2 linked regions of the Astyanax mexicanus genome follow. Each later gene encodes a partner of the first gene's protein in a complex. Links are inferred from orthologs where the notes say so. Each region holds a gene or a part of one and is shown on either strand. Other genes may lie near its edges. The genes, in order: ran and nup50.

Region 1 (10,976 bases):
ATTAATATTAAAGTCACCCAAACTATAAAGAAAACATATGGAATTATTTTTAAAAAAAGGTTAAATAAACCAGAATATGTTTTATATTTTAGATTCTTCAGAGTAGACACCTCTTGCTTAGATAACAGCTTTTGTACATCTTGGCTGGATTTTCTCAGTCAGCTTTATGAGGTAGTGTCATCTGGAATGGCTTAAAGTTAACAGCAGTGCTGAACTTGTCAAGAGGTAATTACATGAACGTCTTGCCTCTTAATGTGTTTGAGAGCACCAGTTGTAAAGTTGTGAAGAGGTAGAGTTATAGGTATACAGTGAATAGCTCTACTTAAGTATTGATCTGATCCAGTCAAGAACTACTCATCTAAGTAAAGAAATGAAGGTCAGTAAATCTGAAAAATTTCAAGAACTTTGAAAGTATCCTCAAGATGATTAAAAACACCGGCTCTCATCAGGACTGGCCCAGAAAACATTTAGTTTTTAGTTAAACTTTGGACTAAATTCTTTTTATATCATTCAAGGTGAAAGAATAATAGTTCCAGGGATTAACCACTCTTGAATATTTAATAACACTACATATAAAACTGTAAAAATATTTCACGCAAAAAAAAAAAAAAAATTTAAATGTACTAATCCATTGTACATAGGCCCGTCACAACAATTACATTATTGTACAATACGTATCATACAATATGTGGACATAACCTCAATCATTTTTGCTGACTTCAATATAGTTCTTTAAGAGTGACGTGTAACTTCATTATTATGCTATTATGTTATCCTTATTTCTATGTAATGAAAAAGTCATATTGTGCTTTGCAAACAATTCCAGCACAATATACCTTCTAAAAGAATGAGTTATTTACACATATCTCATTGTTTATGAATATATCTACTTTTTATAAACAGTATTGTTCTGTCTATATATATTTCTCATGCTCTGTCTCTCTTTGTTGTTTTTTTGTCAGTAGACTAATGCTGGTGGGATGTCTACAGCACTGCGCTTGCTTTACTCCTCCAGGCCAGGTGAGCCTCACTGTTTATAGAATAGAGTTATTATATGAGTTTATAGAACTTTTTTTACGATGTCTACTGAATTTGTGTGTCCTGAATTTGGCTGGTCTGCAGAACGAGGATGGTTCTCATCAATAACAGTCTCTGTCCTTCTCAATGTTTTATTCAGGCACATTTGCTGCCAGCCCTGTCCTGGTTAGAGCCTTTAGTGTCACCATACAAAGAGAAGGCTACAGTAAGGCATAAACACACACACACACACACATCAAATTTAGCTCCTTTTAATGTACAGATGAACTACTTAAAGCAATATTATGTGCCACGTTTACCTTAAAATAGCAGCTAAAGAATTACTGATGCTTCACTAAATGTAATATAGAGAATGCCGAATGCCGTAAAAAGTACCATCAGGGCCATATGCAAGAAATACTGTTTAAAACTATGAACAGACTTTTTAAAATAAACAATACACTGTACTGCAAATCCAGTTAAAATTGGATAATTATGCTTTTGTTGTAATGTAACAGCAAGTTACCCACCCCTGTGAACATGTACTGTTTTGTGTTTATATACTGTAATTGGCTGTGTCTCTTTATCTCTAAAAGAATATGTGAATGCTCAGGAGCTGCCCATTGACATGAAGTCTGTTACTGATCGAGCGGCCCAGACTCTGCTCTGGACTGAACTGTTCAGAGGTCAGTATACTCCTTGTGCTTTTCAGTTAAACATCATTAATCCTGTTTTCACCTTTGATTAGTGTACCACCGTGATGGTTCACCTATTAGATGTATGGATGAATAAATTGGTGGATGGGTGGGTTGGTGGTTGGATACATCAATAAACACATAGATAAATACTTTATTGATCTCAGAGGGAAATGCAAGAAAGTGTGGACAATGCCCCTTTAGTCAATTCTTTAGTCATAAAACCAGAAATTCATCCTGAGAATAAACATGATGTTCACTGCTGCCCTGCATATTTAAAATAAAGATGTCTATATGATATACTAAGAAACACACCAGATGTTTGTTGTTGTAGAGAGGCAAAAAAAAACTATAAAAAAATTAATCCTAATAAAAACTATAAATAAATAATCCAAAGGTCACCCTTCCCTATGCCTAGCAAAGATGAAGATGACGACCTCCAATATTAGGCTGTAGAGCAGTGGAACTGTGTTCTCAGGAGTAATGGAGCTTTGTCCAGTACCATTGGAGTGGAGATCATACAGTTGTGGTCAAAAGTTTACATACACTTGTAAAAAAACATAATGTTATGGCTGTCTTGAGTTTTCAATAAGTTCTACAACTCTTATTTTTCTGTGATAGAGTGATCGGAACACATACATGTTTGTCACAAAAAACAGTCATAAAATTTGGTTCTTTCATAAATTTATTATGGGTCTGCTGAAAATGTCACCAAATCTGCTGGGTCAAAAATATACATACAGCAACATTAGTATTTGGTTACATGTCCCTTGGCCATTTTCACGGCAACTAGGCGCTTTTGGTAGCCATCCACAAGCTCCTGGCAAGCTTCAGGTCGAATGTTTGACCACTCTTCTTGACAGAATTGGTGCAGTTCAGCTAAATGTGATGGTTTTCTTGCATGAACCCGTTTCTTTAGCACTGTCCACATGTTCTCAATGGGGTTTAAGTCAGGACTTTGGGAAGGCCATTCTAAAACCTTAATTCTAGCCTGGTTTAGCCATTCCTTTACCACTTTTGATGTGTGTTTTGGGTCATTGTCTTGTTGGAACACCCAACTGCGCCCAAGACCCAACCTTCTGGCTGATGGTTTTAAGTTTTCCTGCAGAATTTGGAGGTAATCCTCCTTCTTCATTATCCCATTTACTTTCTGCAAAGAACCAGTTCCACTGGCAGCAAAACATCCCCAGAGCATAATACTACCACCACCATGCTTGACAGTAGGCATGGTGTTCCTGGGATTAAAGGCCTCACCTTTTCTCCTCCAAACATATTGCTGGGTGTTGTGGCCAAACAGCTCAATTTTTGTTTCGTCTGACCAGAGAACTTTCCTCCAGAAGGTTTTATCTTTGTCCATGTGATCAGCAGCAAACTTCAGCCGAGTCTTAAGGTGCCTTTTCTGGAGCAAGGGCTTCTTTCTTGCACGGCAGCCTCTCAGTCCATGGCGATGTAAAACACGCTTGACTGTGGAGACTGACACCTGTGTTCCATCAGCTTCCAAATCCTTTCAGACCTGCTTCTTGGTGATTCTTGGTTGACTCTTGACCATCCTGACCAATCTCCTCTCGGCAGCATGTGATAGCTTGCGTTTTCTTCCTGATCGTGGCAGTGACACAACTGTTCCATGCACTTTATACTTGCGTATAATTGTCTGCACAGTTGCTCTTGGGACCTGTAGCTGCTTTGAAATGGCTCCAAGTGACTTCCCTGACTTGTTCAAGTCAATAATTCGCTTTTTCAGATCCACACTGAGTTCCTTTGACTTTCCCATTGTAGCTTTTGTAGCTGAGTCTAATCACTGGGTCAAATGAGCCCTATTTAAATGGGCTCATGAGAAGTCAACAGCTGTAGTCAATCAGAATCACTTACAAGAAGTGAAGAGGCCATGACATGAAGCTAATTTGATTGACACAACTCGCTACATCACCAAAATTGACAAATTTTGTTGCTGTATGTATATTTTTGACCCAGCAGATTTGGGGACATTTTCAGCAGACCCATAATAAATTTATGAAAGAACCAAATTTTATGACTGTTTTTTGTGACAAACATGTATGTGTTCCGATCACTCTATCACAGAAAAATAAGAGTTGTAGAACTTATTGAAAACTCAAGACAGCCATAACATTATGTTTTTTTACAAGTGTATGTAAACTTTTGACCACAACTGTATGTGCCAGAACATAATTTAAATGGGATGTTTGACACCAGCCACACATGAGCCTAAGGTCAATATACCCAATGCCAAACAACAGCTAGAAGGCTAATATTGCTGAAACATTACTTAACCATTTAACAATGTTTCTTACTGTAGTGAGTAATTTTTGTGTGACCTGTGTTGGATTTAGTGCATCAGGCATTTTAGATCACCTTCACTGACACCAGTTCAGTGGCCAAGAAGGACTGAATATATTATGAAGTAGAGATTTTATAAAAGCATTTGTAAGTGTTTATATGTGTGTAGGACTGGGCATGACTATGAGTTACCTGTTCCGAGAGCCAGCCACCATTAACTACCCCTTTGAGAAAGGACCCTTGTCCCCTCGATTCCGTGGAGAACACGCGCTGCGCAGGTACCCAAACGGAGAGGAGCGCTGTATCGCGTGCAAACTGTGTGAGGCCATCTGCCCAGCACAGGTATACCACACACACACACACACACACACACACACACACACACACACACACACATACACACAGCATTATTACAGTGCAGTATTACACATACACATACAACTACAGTATATGAGATGGAGTGAGGCCTAAGAGTGGGTGCAAATGGATGGGACATTCCCTTTCTGAAGTTGTGTGGGCATTTAACATTTCTTAATTGCACAGTCATGTGTGCACTGAGAATACATCATAGAGGGCATTAACACCCACAGCGGACTGTGCAATAGCTGGTAATGATTGTGACCGGCAGCATCTGGCAAACAGACAAGTGACTCTGGCAGAAATCACATCATATTCAATGCACAAGTGCTGCGTTTTTTGATACCTTGGGATATGGCAAAAATTATGGCATGTTAGTGTTTATGTGTGCAAAATGTAATGTAAATAAATTGGTAAGAAATAAAAACACAGATAAGAGTTGGGACCTAAACAGTAAAGTGTGTGTTTGTGTGTGTTGCAGGCTATCACAATAGAAGCAGAGACCCGTGCTGATGGCAGCAGAAGAACCACTCGCTATGATATTGACATGACAAAATGCATCTACTGTGGATTCTGCCAGGAGGCATGCCCTGTAGATGCAATTGTGGAGGTGCGCGCATGCACACACACACACACACACACACACACACACACACACACACACACACACACACACACACACACACACACACACACAGAGATGCTCCATTTTCACTTTTACTGTTTTCTTCACCTCGCTTCTCTCTTTCCCCCTTTCTCTCAGGGTCCTAATTTTGAGTTCTCCACTGAGACACATGAGGAGCTGCTTTATAATAAGGAAAAGCTGCTGAATAATGGAGATCGCTGGGAGGCTGAGATCGCTGCCAACATCCAGGCTGACTACCTGTACAGATAAACAGCCCTGAACAGGAAGCAATACATGCAAACCATCAGAATTAAGAAAATACATCTGTTGTCTGCTCTTTATTACAGCCATAATTGCAGTGTATACTAAGAAGCACTCAGTGCACCCAGTGTAGGAGAATTCATTGTATGGTTCAAACTTCCAAGGTAATGAACTGAAACATCACTAATCGCATTCTCAGGAACTTAATAATCACGCACAAATGTACACAAGTACACAATGAATGAAGTGTAATTATTGTATTTTATAATAGATTTACTTTCAGAAATAAAACTTTAAAAAATATTTTGTGTGCCTGTGTGTGTTTTTTGAGTGAAAGGCATAGATAATGTGGACATTTTTATCAGTAGCATTCATATTACTAATAAAACTAGAGAAAGAATTGGTAATTAGTAATGTATATCGTTATTGTAAGTTATTGTAGTACCCGAACAGTTCTTTCTCATGTCCTTAATGTTAGTTTTAGTCTGTAGTTTTAGTCTGTTAGTCTGAAGTGTCTGTAAGTATAGTATTTTGATGCCATCTCAGCTGATCCAGCAGTTTGTGATTTTATGGTTTTATATGTGTTGCTAGGATTAACTTGCAGTAAATAATGTACATATTGTTTGTATTGTATTCTTATAGCTTGTACTCTGTTCGTGCAGTGTAAAATGGATATTTAAATAATAATAAGAATGGGGTGTACATAAATTACTGTATACTTTTTTTTAGAATGTTCTACAAAACTGTATCTAAATAACCGAATATAAATACATTCAAAAAGCTATATAATAGTTTATGTTAAATGTGGAGTGGTTCCAAACGAATAATTATGCAATGTGCAAGGGGAACGCCTCCCTCAGATTTAATGGGCGCTCATGCAACAACCTTAAAAGATGTAATACAACCTAAGAAACAACGTTCATGCAATGTTCTTTGGTCTAAAGGCAAGACAAACCCCACCCTGCACTCTGTACCTGCTCCATGGGAAAGTTTAGGGTTGCTGCTGTTGCAGAAAGCGGCCAGGCGGGGGCGCGTTACTGCGCGCGGGTTTGCCTGGTCACGTGCTTGGGGCGGAAGCGTTAATGCGGCCGCGCTGAGAGTCGCGCGCTCGGTGCCATTTGCTCTTTTCTCACTGCGCGGCAGAGCGGAGCACGAGCGTCCAGGTAGGAACTGCGCGCGCTGGGAACCAGAATCAGCCCTTAGCGCTCACACACACCCCGCGTTTACACCGCAACACATCGCTCAGCCTCCCGCGCCCCGCTGCGGCACCGATTCAGCGGATCCGCGGGTTAGATCAGGCCTTTAGAGCGGCGGGCTCGGCTCGGTTTAACGCGGTAGCATCGTGTGGCTAGGCAGGTTAGCGCTTAATGCTAGCGCGGATGCGATTACGTTATTGCGTTCCCTGATTTTATTATAAATCCGTAATTTTGGGTGTTAGTCCTGTGCTGTAGGGTATATGTAAGGTGGAGGACTGGATTGGAGGGGTCTGGTCTTTCTGAGATCCGGCGCTCTTTTTTGTTTTGTTGTCCGGTAGCTCTAAAGGAGGACAGTCCTCATCCAGCGAGTAGAAGTCCATCCCAGGATTTTAATCCGACCGCCTGTATCGCTGTACTGCAGCTCATCGGCTCAGCTTGCGTTAACTAGATATAAGCCACGCTAGTTACCTTGATATATTGTTCTGTGCGTTCTAGATAGCTTTTAAATCATTTTCACTTGTTTACATTTGCGTGTGTATTTTTCACTTGTGACTAATGTACTCAATATGTCATCCATGTAGTATTTTATTGCCTCAAACCTTTTTTTGGCCATAATCGATTATCATATGGCTTCATGTAAACTAACCAAAACCTTATTTGTGATCAATCATTTTAGGAGAACTTTAAACTTAACACCTAATTTGTGGGCTCAGTATGTTAACCTAACTACCGTAGCTAAGCTATGTTTTGGCCTTTGAAACAAATTTTTGTTCCCTGTAAGATTTTAATACACCGTTTAAAAGAAGTCCCTGCAATTCAGCTAACTTAATGTGTGGCCTATATATTTTTGTTGAATTAAATAAATTTGCTTTTGTGGTCTTCTGCAGACTAAATGTGGCCACTATATTACCTAATGACCTCCTTTTAAATTTTACTGTTGTGGCTACAACTCAATTTGACCAATAGCTTGTCATATAGCTATTGCATATAGTATTTCCTGTTCACTACAAACTTACTTATTGACTACTAGCTAGTAACGTGGCTAATTTGAGGCCCCAGTAGCTAGCTAACAGTGTTACATTTGAGCTCTCAAAATATATTTCGTGGCAGCTAAAACATTTTTATATTTAGTTGCCTGTAAATAGTTTTATAGAAAGTACCCGGGTGTTTTGAAACAAAATATCCTTGGGTGGATTTTTACTTTCTGGACTTGGATTACCCATCAGTATTGGTAGCGAACAGTTAGCCGGTTAGCATTAGCCAGCGGAAAGAGAGCAGGCTAGCGTTGGCTAAGCTAACTGGATGGATTTGCTTCTGGTGAGAACTAGAAAAGCGCGGCAGCTGTGCGACATGACGCTCAACCAACCAGCAGAACCGGCTCTGAGAGCTCCCATCCGGACTGAACTCGAACCCGGTGGTCGGAACCGGTTCAGACTCGCTTATAGCAGAGCTACCATTCATATTAGCCATAGATGTAATATGTGAGGCGTAGTGAACGCGGCCCCAGCGTGCTGTACGTGTAGCTAAGCTAGCTCATTAGCATTTACTGCGCTCTTGCTTGGCGCCTTTATCAGACGTTCTGGTGGTTGGTTGATTGATGCCGGGCTGCTCAGGCCGCTCAGGCCCGTCCCGCAGCTTCACTGGGTTTGCCCGACACCGCGTGTGGGGAGGGGGATTGTTCTCCGGCCTTTTGTCTGCCTGTATTAACCCTCCCGCCATCTCTCCCGCAGAGTCGCGCTGCGTCAGAGACCCACACACACACATCCAACAATGGCAGAAAACGACCCACAGGTTCAGTTTAAGGTGAGTATTTCATCTAATAAACTACACTGGTGACCTTTTAGGAAACATTGTTTAAAAAAAAAACCTCAACTCTACTGAACAAACTTATGAAGTCAGCTTAAAGGGCCATGCCCCCATTTTTATTAACTTATAAAAGTTGAGAGGCGAATAGCCATAGCCATATTATTTGTTCTGAAGCAAGAAATGAGCTTATGATGTCTGAATTAAATATCTAACGTTTATCACAGTAAGTTACTGACAGATAAATTGTCTCTGGTTGTCTAAAAAGACCCTCCTGTATACATTCATACCATCATAAATGGCAAAGCTTGTCTTAATATTGCTTGTTAGCCAGAGCACTCAGAGCAATTATTGCAGTACAGTATAGCAGTGTGTCTTTTAAGACACATTTTAATATTTTTGTAGTTGTTAACTGTTTTTCCAACCCACAGCTGGTTCTTGTAGGAGATGGAGGTACGGGAAAGACCACCTTCGTAAAGAGGCATTTGACAGGAGAGTTTGAAAAGAAATATGTTGGTAAGTTTGGCTTTGGACTTGTAAAAAATTGTATACAGGCCTGTTTTAGAACTTTACTATATTCCAGCGAATGTGCTCAAACTCAGAAGTGCTCATTTGAGCACTGTGGCCTGAGTGTGACTCAATCGCCCCATTACACATAGAGGGAGGTTTGTGCTGGGGAGCTTTAAGTATGTCAGGCTTTGCAGGGTAGGTAAACATTGTGCAGTCAGTTAAAACAGTAAATCAAGTTTTAAGCATGTCTTTTAATTAAAAAAATCTTTTGTGTAAATACTTCTGTGTATATAATTAAGTATTGTTTTCATTACCCTGCGGGTCTGTGCACTTATTTACATCTGTTTGTAATGACACCTTTTTTTTTTTTTTTTATCTGCTTTTTCCATTCAGCCACTTTGGGGGTTGAAGTACACCCTTTGGTCTTCCACACTAACAGAGGGGCAATCAAATACAATGTATGGGACACAGCTGGACAGGAGAAGTTTGGTGGTCTCAGAGATGGCTACTACATTCAAGGTATATCTCTTGCTTGCCATTGTTGTTAATCTTTTACACTCAGTTTTTAAGGTCAAGCACCATAGCTTCTGTTTTACTGAAGCCTCACATCTTTTTGTTCAATGACCCAGTAACAGAACCAAATCTTTACACATTACTGCAACTTTAGTTTCATTTTCTCTTGCTTGTGTCTCCAGCTCAGTGTGCAATCATTATGTTTGATGTCACCTCTCGAGTCACTTATAAGAACGTGCCCAATTGGCATCGTGACCTGGTCCGCGTGTGTGAGAACATTCCCATAGTTCTGTGTGGCAACAAGGTGGACATCAAGGACAGGAAAGTGAAGGCCAAGAGCATTGTGTTCCATCGCAAGAAGAATCTACAGGTACAGCATAATACCCTATACTTCTGTTCCCTGGAACAATGGGTGTGTCCTGCCAGCAATTTTGTTACATCTGAATGACTAATGTTGCTGTTATGCAGTGTTAATGTGTAATTTTTAGATCTTTAGTTTGGGTTGGAAGGATGTGAAGTTTGATTGGCTGTTAATGTATTGTTAAATCTTTGTTTCCGTTTTAGTACTATGACATCTCTGCAAAGAGTAATTATAACTTCGAGAAGCCTTTCCTTTGGCTTGCACGAAAGCTGATTGGTGATCCTAACCTTGAATTTGTGGAGATGCCTGCCCTTGCCCCACCTGAAATCGCTATGGACCCATCACTTGCTGCACAGTACGAGCATGACCTGAAAGTAAGTACACATACACAAGTGATAAAACTTAACCAAAGTTTGTATGGCTTGTTTTTACCACAATATTAATATATAACTTCTTTCTTCTGTCCTTCTCCCAGGTGGCATCAGAAACAGCTCTCCCAGATGAGGATGATGACCTTTAACCTGTTACCCCCCCTCTGATCTTTCCTTGTGGTCTTGGCCCTCAAAAGGAGTTTGCCCTTCCCCGCTCCCCTTTTACTGTAAAACCCCAGCGCAGATTATTTTTATTTTTCAAGTTTTGTTTTGTTTTTGTGTTTTCAAATTGAATAAAAAGTGAAGTTGTGTGGTTCTCGGATTTCAACGTAGACTTGCTAACCCTAACGCCACCTTTCGGACTCACTCTAGGACACATTTAAACACATGCCTACACTCTGAAACAGACATGCAAACACTCAATCACTCAAAGGCGTGAGAGCAGTTTACTGAGTGTCCCAGTGCTTATTCTATCTGTATGGCTCTAAGCACTTAGAGAACAACTTTGAATAAAAACATTCTCAAAATAATGTTGCTTGGCTTTTTATTTTTTGTTTCAAATTAACTTATTTTGGGTCGTTTACTTTGCATAAACTAAATCTGTCATGGGCTTAAACTATATTTAAAGTGGGACGTGTTTGGCCAGCCTAGTTGTCCAGCAGAAGAGAGGTCAAGGCAATTCCTGTTGGGCTGTTCTGATTTTATAAATTGGGTTACTTTGGAAGTAGCTTTCTAGGCCTTATTGTGTACATAATTTTAGTTCTTTGAAGTTTTTAATTACAGTAAGTTCAATTTAAAAGACTAGAATTTATTAATGTCCTGTCTTGTCTATCTTTAACCCCATAAAAAAAAATTTAACTAGTTTTAGCTGATTCGCTTTAGGAACACGTACCTCTTAAGTATTAATACTTCTCTAAATGGCTGAACTCTAACTTGCATCTCTTGATTCTTTGCTGGCTTTACCTGCCATGA
Region 2 (11,146 bases), on another chromosome or scaffold:
TCCATTCACTCCAGTAATTACTGCATATGACAGTTAACTAATTGTGCGTAATTAGGCTTTCAGTGATCTGTGGTGGCTGATTGACATTTAAATATGTCTTGTGAGCACATCTGCGATTAGAAATGCATGCAGAAAAAAATTATAATCAGTGCTCCCTGATTTAATTAAGGAAGCAACAAGGATGAAGACATCGCTCTAATTTCAAAGGGCAGCAAGGGGTGATGATGAAAACACCCCTGGAGCCAGAGTGGGCATGCGGGGAGGTCGCGGGGATTTGATGTTTTGTTTGTTTCTTTAAAAGAGGAAGTGATAAAGTTGGTCTGTGTTGATTTAAAAATGAGTCACACTATAGGAACTTTACAGCCTTCACAGATATATTACAGTCAAAGAACAAAAAAATGTTATACCAGTAAAACCTTCTTGAGCCATAAATGTAGTGATATTTGTTTTTTTTTTTCAATTAATTATACAGTACAGAAGTGCTTGTTCCCACAGTGATGTGTGAAAGGGGAGTGCCATATTTTTCCACAGTTTTAAATGCAATAATTTATACGTGATTATGAAATACAACTCTGGAAAATAATAAGAGACCACCTTAATTTCTGAATCTTTTTGTATATTTTGCTATTTATATGTTTATGTTTGAGTACAATGAACATTGTTGTTTTATTCTATAAACTACAGACAACATTTCTCCCGAATTCCAAATTAAAATATTGTCATTTAAAGCATTTATTTGCAAAAAAAAAGAAATGGCTGGAATAACAAAAAAGATGCAGACCTCTCAGATCTCAAGCAATGCAAAGAAAACAAGTTTATAAAGTTTTAAGAGTTTAGAAATCAATATTTGGTGAAAAAACCCTGAATCCTGAGTTTTCATGCATATTGGCATTTTCTCCTCCACCAGTCTTACACTATCCACTGCTTTTGGACAACTTTATGCCTTTACTCCTGGTGCAAAAATTCAAGCAGTTCAGCTTGGTTTCATGGCTGTGATCATCCGTCTTCCTCTTGATTATATTCCAGAGGTTTTTAATTTGGTAAAATCAAAGAAACTTATCATTTTAAGTGGTCTCTTATTTTTTCCAGAGCTGTACATGATTTACAGTATATTATATGCAAAATAAGTGCTGTACAGTTTTTTTAATTACACAAAGTTTGGCCCCAACTTTCACTCCGTAATTCACTCCTTTAACAGAGCCTGGGGATGCATTTGCATTTTTATTTAGCATTGTAAACATGACGTTACTTCTAGGCCTGCTACGATAATAATATTATCAACTATCAATTGTACAATAACTGGACTTGATTCAATAATATATGATAATTACAATATCGTCTATTGTATTTGTTTGGCTTTAAAAAGGGAATAATTGCATTGTTATACTATAATATTACTACTGTATCAGTGTCATTTGATGGTCTTAAAATGACAATAATATCGTTTATTGCAAAACTTTCTGGGAAAATTCTTATTGACATGCCTAATCATAATTACTTTTTATTTATGCTGACATAAGGACTAAATTTCTCTCACTCTCACACACACACGCACATGCATATACGCACATACACACAGCTGCTGGCAGGTTTCCTCTTTCCAAATTGTTAAAGGTGTAACAAAGCATCAAAACTACCCTGATATATTATAATAAAATAAAAAGAGCTCTGGCCTGCCAGGAAGAAAATGCAAGGAAGTATTAAATCTCTTTTAAAGTGTGTTAAAATGAACTGTGATAGAGTCATTTTGAGTTTGCTGATTTTGCAGTGTGTGTTATAACGTAGTCTAAGTTTAAATGTAGTTTTGCCGTTTCAAAAGGGAAAGTTTCCATCAAATCACCCGAATGTGGTCTTTCAATAAACAGCCAGCCGTGTCAGAACAGAGCTGCTTTAATCATTTACAATAATCACTGATGTAAAACATCTCCTCATAAACAGTGATCGATGGCACCGCAAGGCCCTCTGGGACAGAATTGGCTGTGGATGAGCTGCTGAGAGCAGCTTAGAGTTTAGTTCTGTTGAAAAATCTGAAATCAATCCATTTCTCCTTCCCCCTGTAGAGAACATCACGTGGTGGCTGGGCGCGCACTGGGACATGACAGCCTGTCAGAGGCCCCGTCCCTTTATGACGAGTCCGAGGCCCCCTAATTTTATCAGCCCAGTAATCTTCATAACTATTAGGAGGCCCTTTTACATCCCGTCTTTGTCATGTGCAGGCCATCGCCCCTCCCACCCCAGCCAGCCGTCACCCATTTCCTCACTTTCTGCTGCTGTTTTGATGCACTCCATTGGAAGTGAGTGCAAATCTGCAGCAATTTAGCCTGAATGGGAAAAAACGTCATGGCCTGAATGCGTTTTATCACCTGCTGAAGCAAAAACGATGAAGTTTATGCATAATTATATCGTCCTTAAACCGCTTTTCAGCATTTCTCAGAGCCCACAGAAGCTAATCACGGCATCCAGAGAGAAAATTCTGGAATATTAAAATGGTTCCTCAAATACAGTTCACAGATCACTTGGTTTTAGCATTAACCTCTTGACCCCTGTAGCCTCATTAGTCTACTGTTTATTGTAACGATCATAATGATGGAACTCTTATTAATTGTATTAATAATTATACATTTACATCTCAGTCTCTGAGATACAGTATAAACAGAGTACTTCATTGTAATTTGGTGTGAAACAGATCCAGCTAACAGAGAATGTTTTAGCAACGTCTTTTAATAACAATTTAAAAAGGTTCCTGGAAGGTTATCCTGTAAGAGCACAGAAATATTTTTTCTTTATGTTTCTCACATAATGTTCCCATATAGACAAATACTAAAATTATGGAAAAGTTAAATAAATTATTCCCAAAGCTAAAAATGAAATGACAAGTAAAAAAACTCGAACGTTGTAAGAACATTAATTGTAACACTCAGAAAACATTCTACTAACCAAAACTGGCTTGCTGGGTGTAAACGTACCATCTCGGATCACTTTACAGTGGTGATGGTAGGGAAAGGCTTCAAAACAACTTTATATATAGTTGTAGCAAATTAGCCAGCTTCACTTAGTCCTGTTCCAGCAATATTGACAATATCACTATGCACTTCTATTTTTAGGACCTTTTTTTTTACCTAGAACATCCTGCATATACTCCTCCAGCATGAATATTTTAAATTTTCTGTATCAGAGATTGTAGAGATTTTTGGGAACTCCTCACACATAAATAGATTTTAACTCCCTGTTAAATGGCTTTAAGATTTTTTGGGGGTAATATGTTTCCCTAGCACATTCTAAATTTACTTTTCCACCATAAATATATTATTAACTTTAAGGAAGTTGGCTTTTTCCTTGATCCTTCTTCCTTACTTGATCCTCCACCACAAAGATTTTTTTAATCTTCCTGTGATATGGATTTTGGAGCTTTTTGGGGACTTTTTTTTCTTAAAATAATTATCATATATTCTTTATAAGAAAATTAAAATAAAATAAAATGAAAGTGCCTGTTTTTTATTACTGTTCATTTAAAACATATCTAAACTATGTCTCTGTTCTAATTGGTCAGCATACCATTTGGTAATTTATTATTCAGTGATATATAAGTTATTTAGTTGTAAAAGTGAGGGTCTGAAGTTTGGGCCTACCCCCATACAGGCTCAGAGCTTAAAGGGTTAATCTCATTATCCACCCATTCATAAGGAACAGAGAAGGAGGACTATGCACACACACACACACACACACACACACACACACTCTCTCACTCTCTATTTTTTGTCCCACACACTGAGGCTGATCCCCCACCTCGCTGTTTGCTGCGCTCTCTCCTGGCCAGCTGGTCAGGGCTCTCCTGTGGACGTTCAGGCCCTGAGCGTACATCCTACTTTCCTCAGCACCTGTTCCCGGGTTGGCACCACGACTATGGGATCCTGAGGGCTTGGATCAGCGCCATCTGCTCCGCAACACTGCAGCGTTTTCCATGAAATCCCCCCAAAGTCTATCTGAATCAATCCCACCCTGCAATGGAGCGCAACCCCACCAACAGCCTGACAGAAATAAATTACATCAGCTGCTCTCTCCCAGAGTTCAGAGTCCATTCGGGTCTGTATTGCACCGAATTAAATTTAAACTAAATATGGTTCTTTTTAAAACAGTCCCAGAAACATCCTAAATGTGTAGCCCAACTGGGAACCAGTAATTTTGTCCACAGGTTTAAATTTGGCCCCACAAATGGATAGATGTAAGTGTTGGGCCAACAGGCTCAGTGATGAGACCAGGAAGGGTTAAATATGGTCTATACACTGTATCTAGGTTGTACACAGCACATGAGGCCTAGCCCATATTGCAACCACGTGAGCCCCACATGAACAAGTTGGCTGGGATATCTTACATTAAAATGAAACAAAAAAGACAACTTATTCAAACTAATGAAACAAACATACAATATATTGAGTTTAAACATGATATTCCTGGCCATGGCCAAAAAAACCCACAAATGCATGGTTTAGATAAGCTTTTCTAGCAATGCTAAAACAGAATACAAACTCATATTTATCAGTGTCAAACTTGAGTTACAGGCATGTCAAAAAAAAAAAAAGTACATTTTTAATGGTTTACTCCCATGCATATGATACATACATATAAACATTACTCACCTAAAGCTCATGTGTAGCTCTTTGTGAGTTTGGTTTGTTTGCAGTAACTGTATATATATATATTGTGATAACCATTTACTATGCACTTCCAAAACTGAGTAAATGCGCATGTGTGTGTGTGTGTGTGTGTGTAGGAGGGGCTGCAGGGCATGGTGCTTTCTAGGCCATGGTGCACCCCTGGCCCAGTCTTGGAGCCAGAACTGCTGTTTATTACTTGAGGAGGGCTTGATGGCAGCCTAAGACCTTGATAAAAGTTATCTGAGAGCATGCATCTTTTGGGGTGTTCAAATTTCGCACAAAACAAGAATGACTAAAAATATTGGTAAAAATCTTTTACCTTTATCAAGTCATAGTATTGGACATGCCTGTACAAAAAAGTATGGTGACATTTGTCATGTTTCTTTTTAATTCTATTTAATTTTTATTTAATTAGCATAACAATTGTGGATATTTTCTATTCATTGGATGGTTTGAATGGAGCTGCTTGGCCTTGGAAATTATATGAAGTTCTCTATGCTCTACTATCCTTGAGATAATCTAAAGGCCTCATGAAGTTTAAAAGTCTGTGGCGACTGACTCTGCAGAAAGTTAGTCACCTTTGCACACTATGAGCCTCAGCATCAGCTGACCACACACTGTTATTTCAAGTTGACAGAGCGAGTTGCTTTAGATCCCATCGCTTCCACTTGGTTATAATAGCACTGACAGTTGGCTGTGGAATATTTAGTATTGATAGAATTTCTCAACTGGGCTGGTTGCACAGGGGGCATCCCAGATATCTCACACATCTCAGACACCTCAACACACAGAGACAGAGCTAACCCCAGCCCCCACCTCACCCACCACACACCAAACACACTTACACAAAACTGAACAGAACCCCCAGAAATGTAAATACACTAAATGTTAATTGTATACTGTTATAAGTGCATACTGTTTATACATGCATGTTCATATCTGAGTGAGATTTTTACTACTTTTTTATGATTCTCAAAAGTCACTAAATCCAGCAACAAAATTGCTAAATTAGCAACACTGGCTCTCTAGCAACAATGTTCAGTGAACGGTTATTTACGTTTATGAGCTTTTCTTATTGTTACAGTGGGACTTTACTGCAGTAAAACCTGAGTCACTGCAGTAAATCTCTTACAGCTTACCCCTAGATAAGTGAATTGTTGGGGGGTTTTGTTATGGAACACACCTGAGTAATTTCCTTAGGTAAGGGAAAATATTCTGTTAAGATTACTTACCTCAATGATTTGGAGTTCTATGATTGTGAGGAGTTAATACTTTTGTTAGTATTGTGTTTACCTGTTACTGTGGAGCTCATGGCATGTTTTCAGATTGCACAAATTGTAGTTCTGGGGGAACTGTTCACAAAGACTACATTTCCCTCAACCACATTCGCTTCCCCTTCACTGCACATGCGCAGTGCTCCGTTTTGACGCGCGAATATCCCGTTTTGTAAGATGGTGGCGTGGTGAGAGTGTGAAGCTGCCGGTGTTGTTGTATTAGGAGCCGTTTTATCACAGTGTAGCAGTTCGGTACCGTGTGGTGCTCTTCAGAAAGGTCAGTATACGCCGGTGCGGTGTGTATAATCGGTAGAATGTGTGCGGAGTGTTAGCGGTGGGTGAGCTGGTGTGTTCCGGCTAACGGCTAACAGCTAGTTTATGTGACCGGCCTGCCTGTACATGGCTGCCGGCCCGCGGGTCGCCCGTCACTCCGCCGCCAATCCGCCAAATCTGAGAATGTGCTGTGAATGTGGCGGGTCTGTTACAGTGTTACTGCGGAGGACAGGCTGTTTAACCGCCGTCTGTTCTCCGGCTGAGCCGCTCGGGAGCAGTTTAGAGCTGAGGGGGTGATAATGTGCTGATTTACTGTGTGGTTTTACTTTCTGATTGACTGATTAACTCCAACTCTCTCTCTGTAACTCCAGACACACTATAGCTAACCTAACACAGCGCGGTGTCTGTCAGAGCTCAATTACACAACTAACAACCGCTGGAGTTTATGAGGGAATTAGCTCAGCTAGCGTTAGGTTAGCTAGTTTATGTGTTAAATTTTATTTGAAAAACGTTTTCTCAGTGAAATAAACCGTTTCCTCAGGTTAGGGGGGACAGTTTAGCAAGCTAAGCTTGATAGCTCACTAGGTAACTTAGTCAGGTAGTTAGCTTAACTAAATAGAAAGTAATTTATTTTAAAATGTTAGCTAACTAGCTAATTAAGTTTTTTTAATTAATAGTAGGTTTTTTGAAAGAAAATTGTGATATTAAGCTAAGTAGGCTAAGCGATTTATAGAATTGCTGCTTTATTACAGGCAATGATTTAACCTTACCTATTAAATTAATGGTACGCTAGCTAACTATGTAGCTAACTAGCTAACTTAGACGGGGAGCTTAAGTTAACCATTAAATTAGCTAAATAGAGTGAGTCATTTATTCAAATAAACAAGCTAACTAGGTTGATTAAGTTTCGTAAAGTAACAGTAGGTTTTATTAAACAAAAATTAGTGATTTAAGCTCACCGTTAAGCTAAGTAGGCTAAGCAGTTAAACTATATAATTTATGCTCTCTTACAGGCTAATAGCTATTAAATGAATGGCACATTTATAAAGTTGAGGGAGTTTTTTTAACCTACTTAAATAAGGAGAACCATTTAGCTATTCAAGTGGCCGTTAGGGGTTAGTACCATACAGCCAACGTTTTTGTATAGGTTATAGATCTTGCAAAGAAATTTTGATATAATTTGGGGCCATATTGGTCGCATATCAGGGTACAACTTTGCTGCTTTTAGAAAAAGTTAAATGTACACTGTTCTCATTTCCCAATAAAGTATGTTGATGAAATATTTTCTTAAATCTGTGTTCCTGAAATATTGGGGGGTTGTTGTATCAATCATGGTATAGATTTGTAAAGGGAATGACTTTTTAAAGTCAGCATATGGTTTATTAATTTAAGTGAATTTCCTCATTCACTCTGTATGAAGTAGAATTAAAAAACACAAAGTTTTGTTTGGTTTGCGGGAACATGGCAGTTATAAAACGTGACTACAGAGTAGCTACTGACAGCACTGAACAAAACTGAAAAGAAAAAGTTTGAAAAGGTATAAAAAAAGTGCCTGAACCCTGGACCAGTCTTTCTAATGCATGGCTTAATTGTAATAGATACATGAGCTAACTGTAGAAAATGCAACACATTGGAGACTCTAGTTGTCAGTACAAAATTGTTTTAGTTGTCATGACAGTGGTGCAGTATTTGTTTTAGTGTAGTTTTGGCAACAAATGACATGTGCCTCACAATTTTCTCTCCCGAAAATATGTAGTGATATGAAATAAAATATAGTTCTAGAGATTTTCATCATTAGAAATAAAAATGCAGCCAAAATTATCTCAGAGGTGTGATGTTATCTTGTACATATGTTCATTGTCTTACGTTACCTCACCGCGTGCCAGTTTTATTGTTCATTTCAAGTAATTATTAACAATCTGTGTGTTCAGCAGATTGTAAGTTTGATAAATCTATGAATAAAACCCTTTTTCTTAATATAGAACTGGCTGTACCAACTTAAAAAGGCAGAATCAATACTTTGACTGTTTTAGGCTTATGTATGCCTGCTCTCTCCTTCAATGAAAGACAAATACAGATTAGTTGACTGAAATATATATATAATCAATAAACCACATAACTTCGGTAGGTTTTGGAGCTCACCACTTTATTTGTTGAAATTCGTTTGGTTAATAGTTTTCACATTTGTTTTACCTGTCAGCAGGTCTGTGATGGCAAAGCGGATTGCGGAGAAGGAGTTGACAGACAGGAACTGGGATCAGGAAGATGAAGGGGAAGAGGTATGATTCCTGTAGTTAAGCTGTGTTTTTTCATGTAGACGCAAGCCACATTGAAATTGTTTATTTTTTCACCAAGCAAAACGTCTAGATTTTTGTTTTTTGTCTCTATAATGGCAGTTCAGTTTTTAAAAAAATAATCTGAGACTGAAATTTTAGGGTAAACATTTTGTCTGGTAGGTTTTCAAGTTATTGAATCATTAGAAAGAGCTTCAAATGAAACTACCATAGTTTGTTTATCAGTGGTTCCCAATCCTGATTCAGGGGTAACAAAGCCCTGCTTGATCTAGGGTTTTCTTACTGTAAGACCCAATTTGTTTCAACAAGGCCTCCTATGTCAATTAATTGGTTGGATCAGGTGTGTTAGAATCTAAAACTGGGAGGGCTGTGGTAGTCCAGGATCATTAATGAGAACCACAGCACTATACAGTATAAGTGCACTTTATTGGACAATATCTGTGCTGCATAGTGTACCATTTGGGCCTTTTCTGAAACTGCACTTAAGAAGTTCCCTTAATACTCTATTTTGAATGATGTCTGTAACTATGCCCTTGTCACTCTATAGTTCACTGTTTCCTATTTCCTGTATAATACACTTTTTTGCACTAGATCTGTAACTATGCCATATTTAGTATATAGTGCACATTTTTGGCTTTATCTGAAACTACACCTTGTTAACTTTGCAGTGCACTGTTTTGGATTACACCTGTCACTACAGCCAAGTCAATATATAGTGCACTCTAAAGTCACTATATCAGGGGTCAACATCCCTGCTCCCTGAGAGCTGGCGTCCTGCAGATTACACCTTCATCCCAAATCTAACACGTCCCCAATAACTGATCAGGCATTTCTGAAGGCAGTAATTTGTTGGCTCAGGTGGGTTTGATCAGTAGTTGTAGCCTTGTGGAAACACATTTATAGAACTTTGTCTTATTTACTCTGTAGTGCACTATTTTGGACAAATATTTATAAACCTTTGTCCTGTTCTCTGTGTAGTGCACCATTTGGGGCTACTTATGAATCTATTTACAATTTTATATGAAGTGCGTCCCTTTTTTTTTTTTTTTTTTCTGTTTCATTTTTAAATAAAGCATTGGTGGTGGTGGTATGCATAGTTGATGCTATATTGGTGTTGATAACTTACTACCTACGATAACATTTATAAACGCAGGCAGACCTAAAGACAAAGTTGTATTTGCAGAGTGACTGCAATTATGGGAACAGAAAATTGTCATTTTGATTTTATGTTGGACCATTTCCTAAAAATCCTCTCCTGTGTAACACGTTGTTCCTTTCTTCAGGCAGGGACATTTTCAACTGCGAGTGAGGATGTGATGAAAAACCGAGCCATCAAGAAAGCCAAGCGTAGAAATTTTGGAGCTGAGGTAAGTGAAGTGCTTCTCTTTGTCAGTAGACATCAGGCATGTGGTACAATGTGACTTTTACAGGGGGTTACGGAGCCAAGTGTTAAAAAAAATGGGTGTGCATTGAATTAGGGTTGGACAATAAAACAATAGGTAAGGTACCTGTCGTGAAATAACTTTTCCTTATTATAAATATAAGACAGGGATAAGAATAGATGTTTCCAACAGATAACCATAATGGCCAATAGTAAATAGGCAAAGCGCCATGTGGCTGAAATAAAGTTATAGCCACATGTTATGCCTGTGGCACAGAGCGTAGGAAGGTTTTATGTAGACAGTATTCAAGTTATAGTCTGTTTTTTCTTTATATGAAGTATGGTGTTCTACGGTTCTTTTTATACACTTATGAAATATAAAAAATATATTTTTATAATTATTATTATTATTTTTAAATAAATATATATATATTTATTTATATATATTATTATTAAATATATATATATATTTATTACTAAATTACAGTTCTACTCGAATGAGAGTTACTGTCTGAGCTAAACTCGTCTGGTCATACTGTTATTTCTATTTATTTCCTGGTTTATTATTCAGACACCAGCTAAAGATAGCTTTCTCAAGTTTCAGCATTGGGTGGGTATTGAAGCCAAGCAGTCAGTGTCGAGTACAAGCCTCCAACTAGTTCTCAAAGCAGAGACATTAAGTTTTCTAATGTCATTTTTGTTTGTTCTTCGCTCTCAATAGTGTTTATTTCTATGTACTTCTATGTACTTTATATAAAGTAGTAATATATTATTAATATTTTATTGTAGCTGTGTTTTTAATTTGTGTGTACTACTATAGAATGCAGAGCAGTGTGAATTATGTAATTATGTAAATTATTAAGGAGTTTTTTCATGTTGCTGCAGGGTGAGAGTGGAGGAGCTTTTAAAAGCTTTAAGGGTTTCTCTCTGACCGCGTCGGCTCCGGCAGCTGGAGGAGGAGGAGGAGGAGGATTCACAGGCTTTGGTAATGGAACTGGATTCAAACCCCTCTCTGGTCTGACCAACGGCAGCATGTCATCTGTAACCCCATCTTTTGGAGGCTTCAGTTCCTCTGCTACCCCCAAGCCAATCACCGGTAAATCTTGAAAAATGCAGTAAATGTTGTTAAGAAACTGGTACTGATAAGGGATTTGCAGAAATTAACATATTTGCCTGAAAATGGACAAAATGGATCATTTGGCTGAAGACCAAATAATGAGCATGTTTTAACAGGTTTTAATTATTTTTTTTATTCTTTTTTTAATTACA

What was found.
Region 2: the proteins of ran (region 1) and nup50 are in contact, whole or in part, in a crystal structure (PDB 7MO0), measured with the Homo sapiens proteins. The link is inferred for Astyanax mexicanus from reciprocal best matches to the Homo sapiens genes RAN and NUP50. Residues at the interface, in NP_006316.1 of Homo sapiens: Arg29, His30, Thr32, Gly33, Glu34, Phe35, Glu36, Phe52, Val124, Asp125, Ile126, Lys127, Ser153, Asn154, Tyr155, Phe157, Glu158, Phe176, Ala178, Pro180, Ala181, Leu182, Ala183, Pro184, Glu186, Val187, Asp190, Pro191, Ala194, Tyr197; in NP_009103.2 of Homo sapiens: Pro344, Pro345, Lys346, Val347, Val352, Lys362, Cys363, Lys364, Phe366, Tyr367, Lys368, Asn371, Glu372, Phe373, Lys374, Glu375, Lys376, Gly377, Ile378, Lys384, Lys390, Gln392, Leu394, Arg396, Thr399, Asn400, Leu401, Asn403, Ile404, Leu405.

Annotation. Positions count from the first base shown.
Region 1 is NC_064417.1:22,956,328-22,967,303, reverse strand, and holds ran (GTP-binding nuclear protein Ran), read left to right. Parts: upstream 1-6,289; 5' UTR 6,290-6,413; intron 6,414-8,176; 5' UTR 8,177-8,216; coding exon 8,217-8,249; intron 8,250-8,680; coding exon 8,681-8,765; intron 8,766-9,152; coding exon 9,153-9,278; intron 9,279-9,454; coding exon 9,455-9,642; intron 9,643-9,836; coding exon 9,837-10,007; intron 10,008-10,108; coding exon 10,109-10,153; 3' UTR 10,154-10,534; downstream 10,535-10,976. Other genes in the region: ndufs8b (NADH:ubiquinone oxidoreductase core subunit S8b), read left to right, coding at 981-1,020, 1,178-1,243, 1,614-1,703, 4,177-4,349, 4,846-4,974, 5,128-5,259. UniProt on the Homo sapiens protein: GTPase involved in nucleocytoplasmic transport, participating both to the import and the export from the nucleus of proteins and RNAs. Switches between a cytoplasmic GDP- and a nuclear GTP-bound state by nucleotide exchange and GTP hydrolysis.
Region 2 is NC_064409.1:16,130,190-16,141,335, reverse strand, and holds the start of nup50 (nuclear pore complex protein Nup50), read left to right. Parts: upstream 1-6,056; 5' UTR 6,057-6,206; intron 6,207-8,402; exon of another isoform or gene 8,403-8,405; 5' UTR 8,406-8,412; coding exon 8,413-8,481; intron 8,482-9,779; coding exon 9,780-9,863; intron 9,864-10,762; coding exon 10,763-10,973; intron 10,974-11,146. UniProt on the Homo sapiens protein: Component of the nuclear pore complex that has a direct role in nuclear protein import. Actively displaces NLSs from importin-alpha, and facilitates disassembly of the importin-alpha:beta-cargo complex and importin recycling.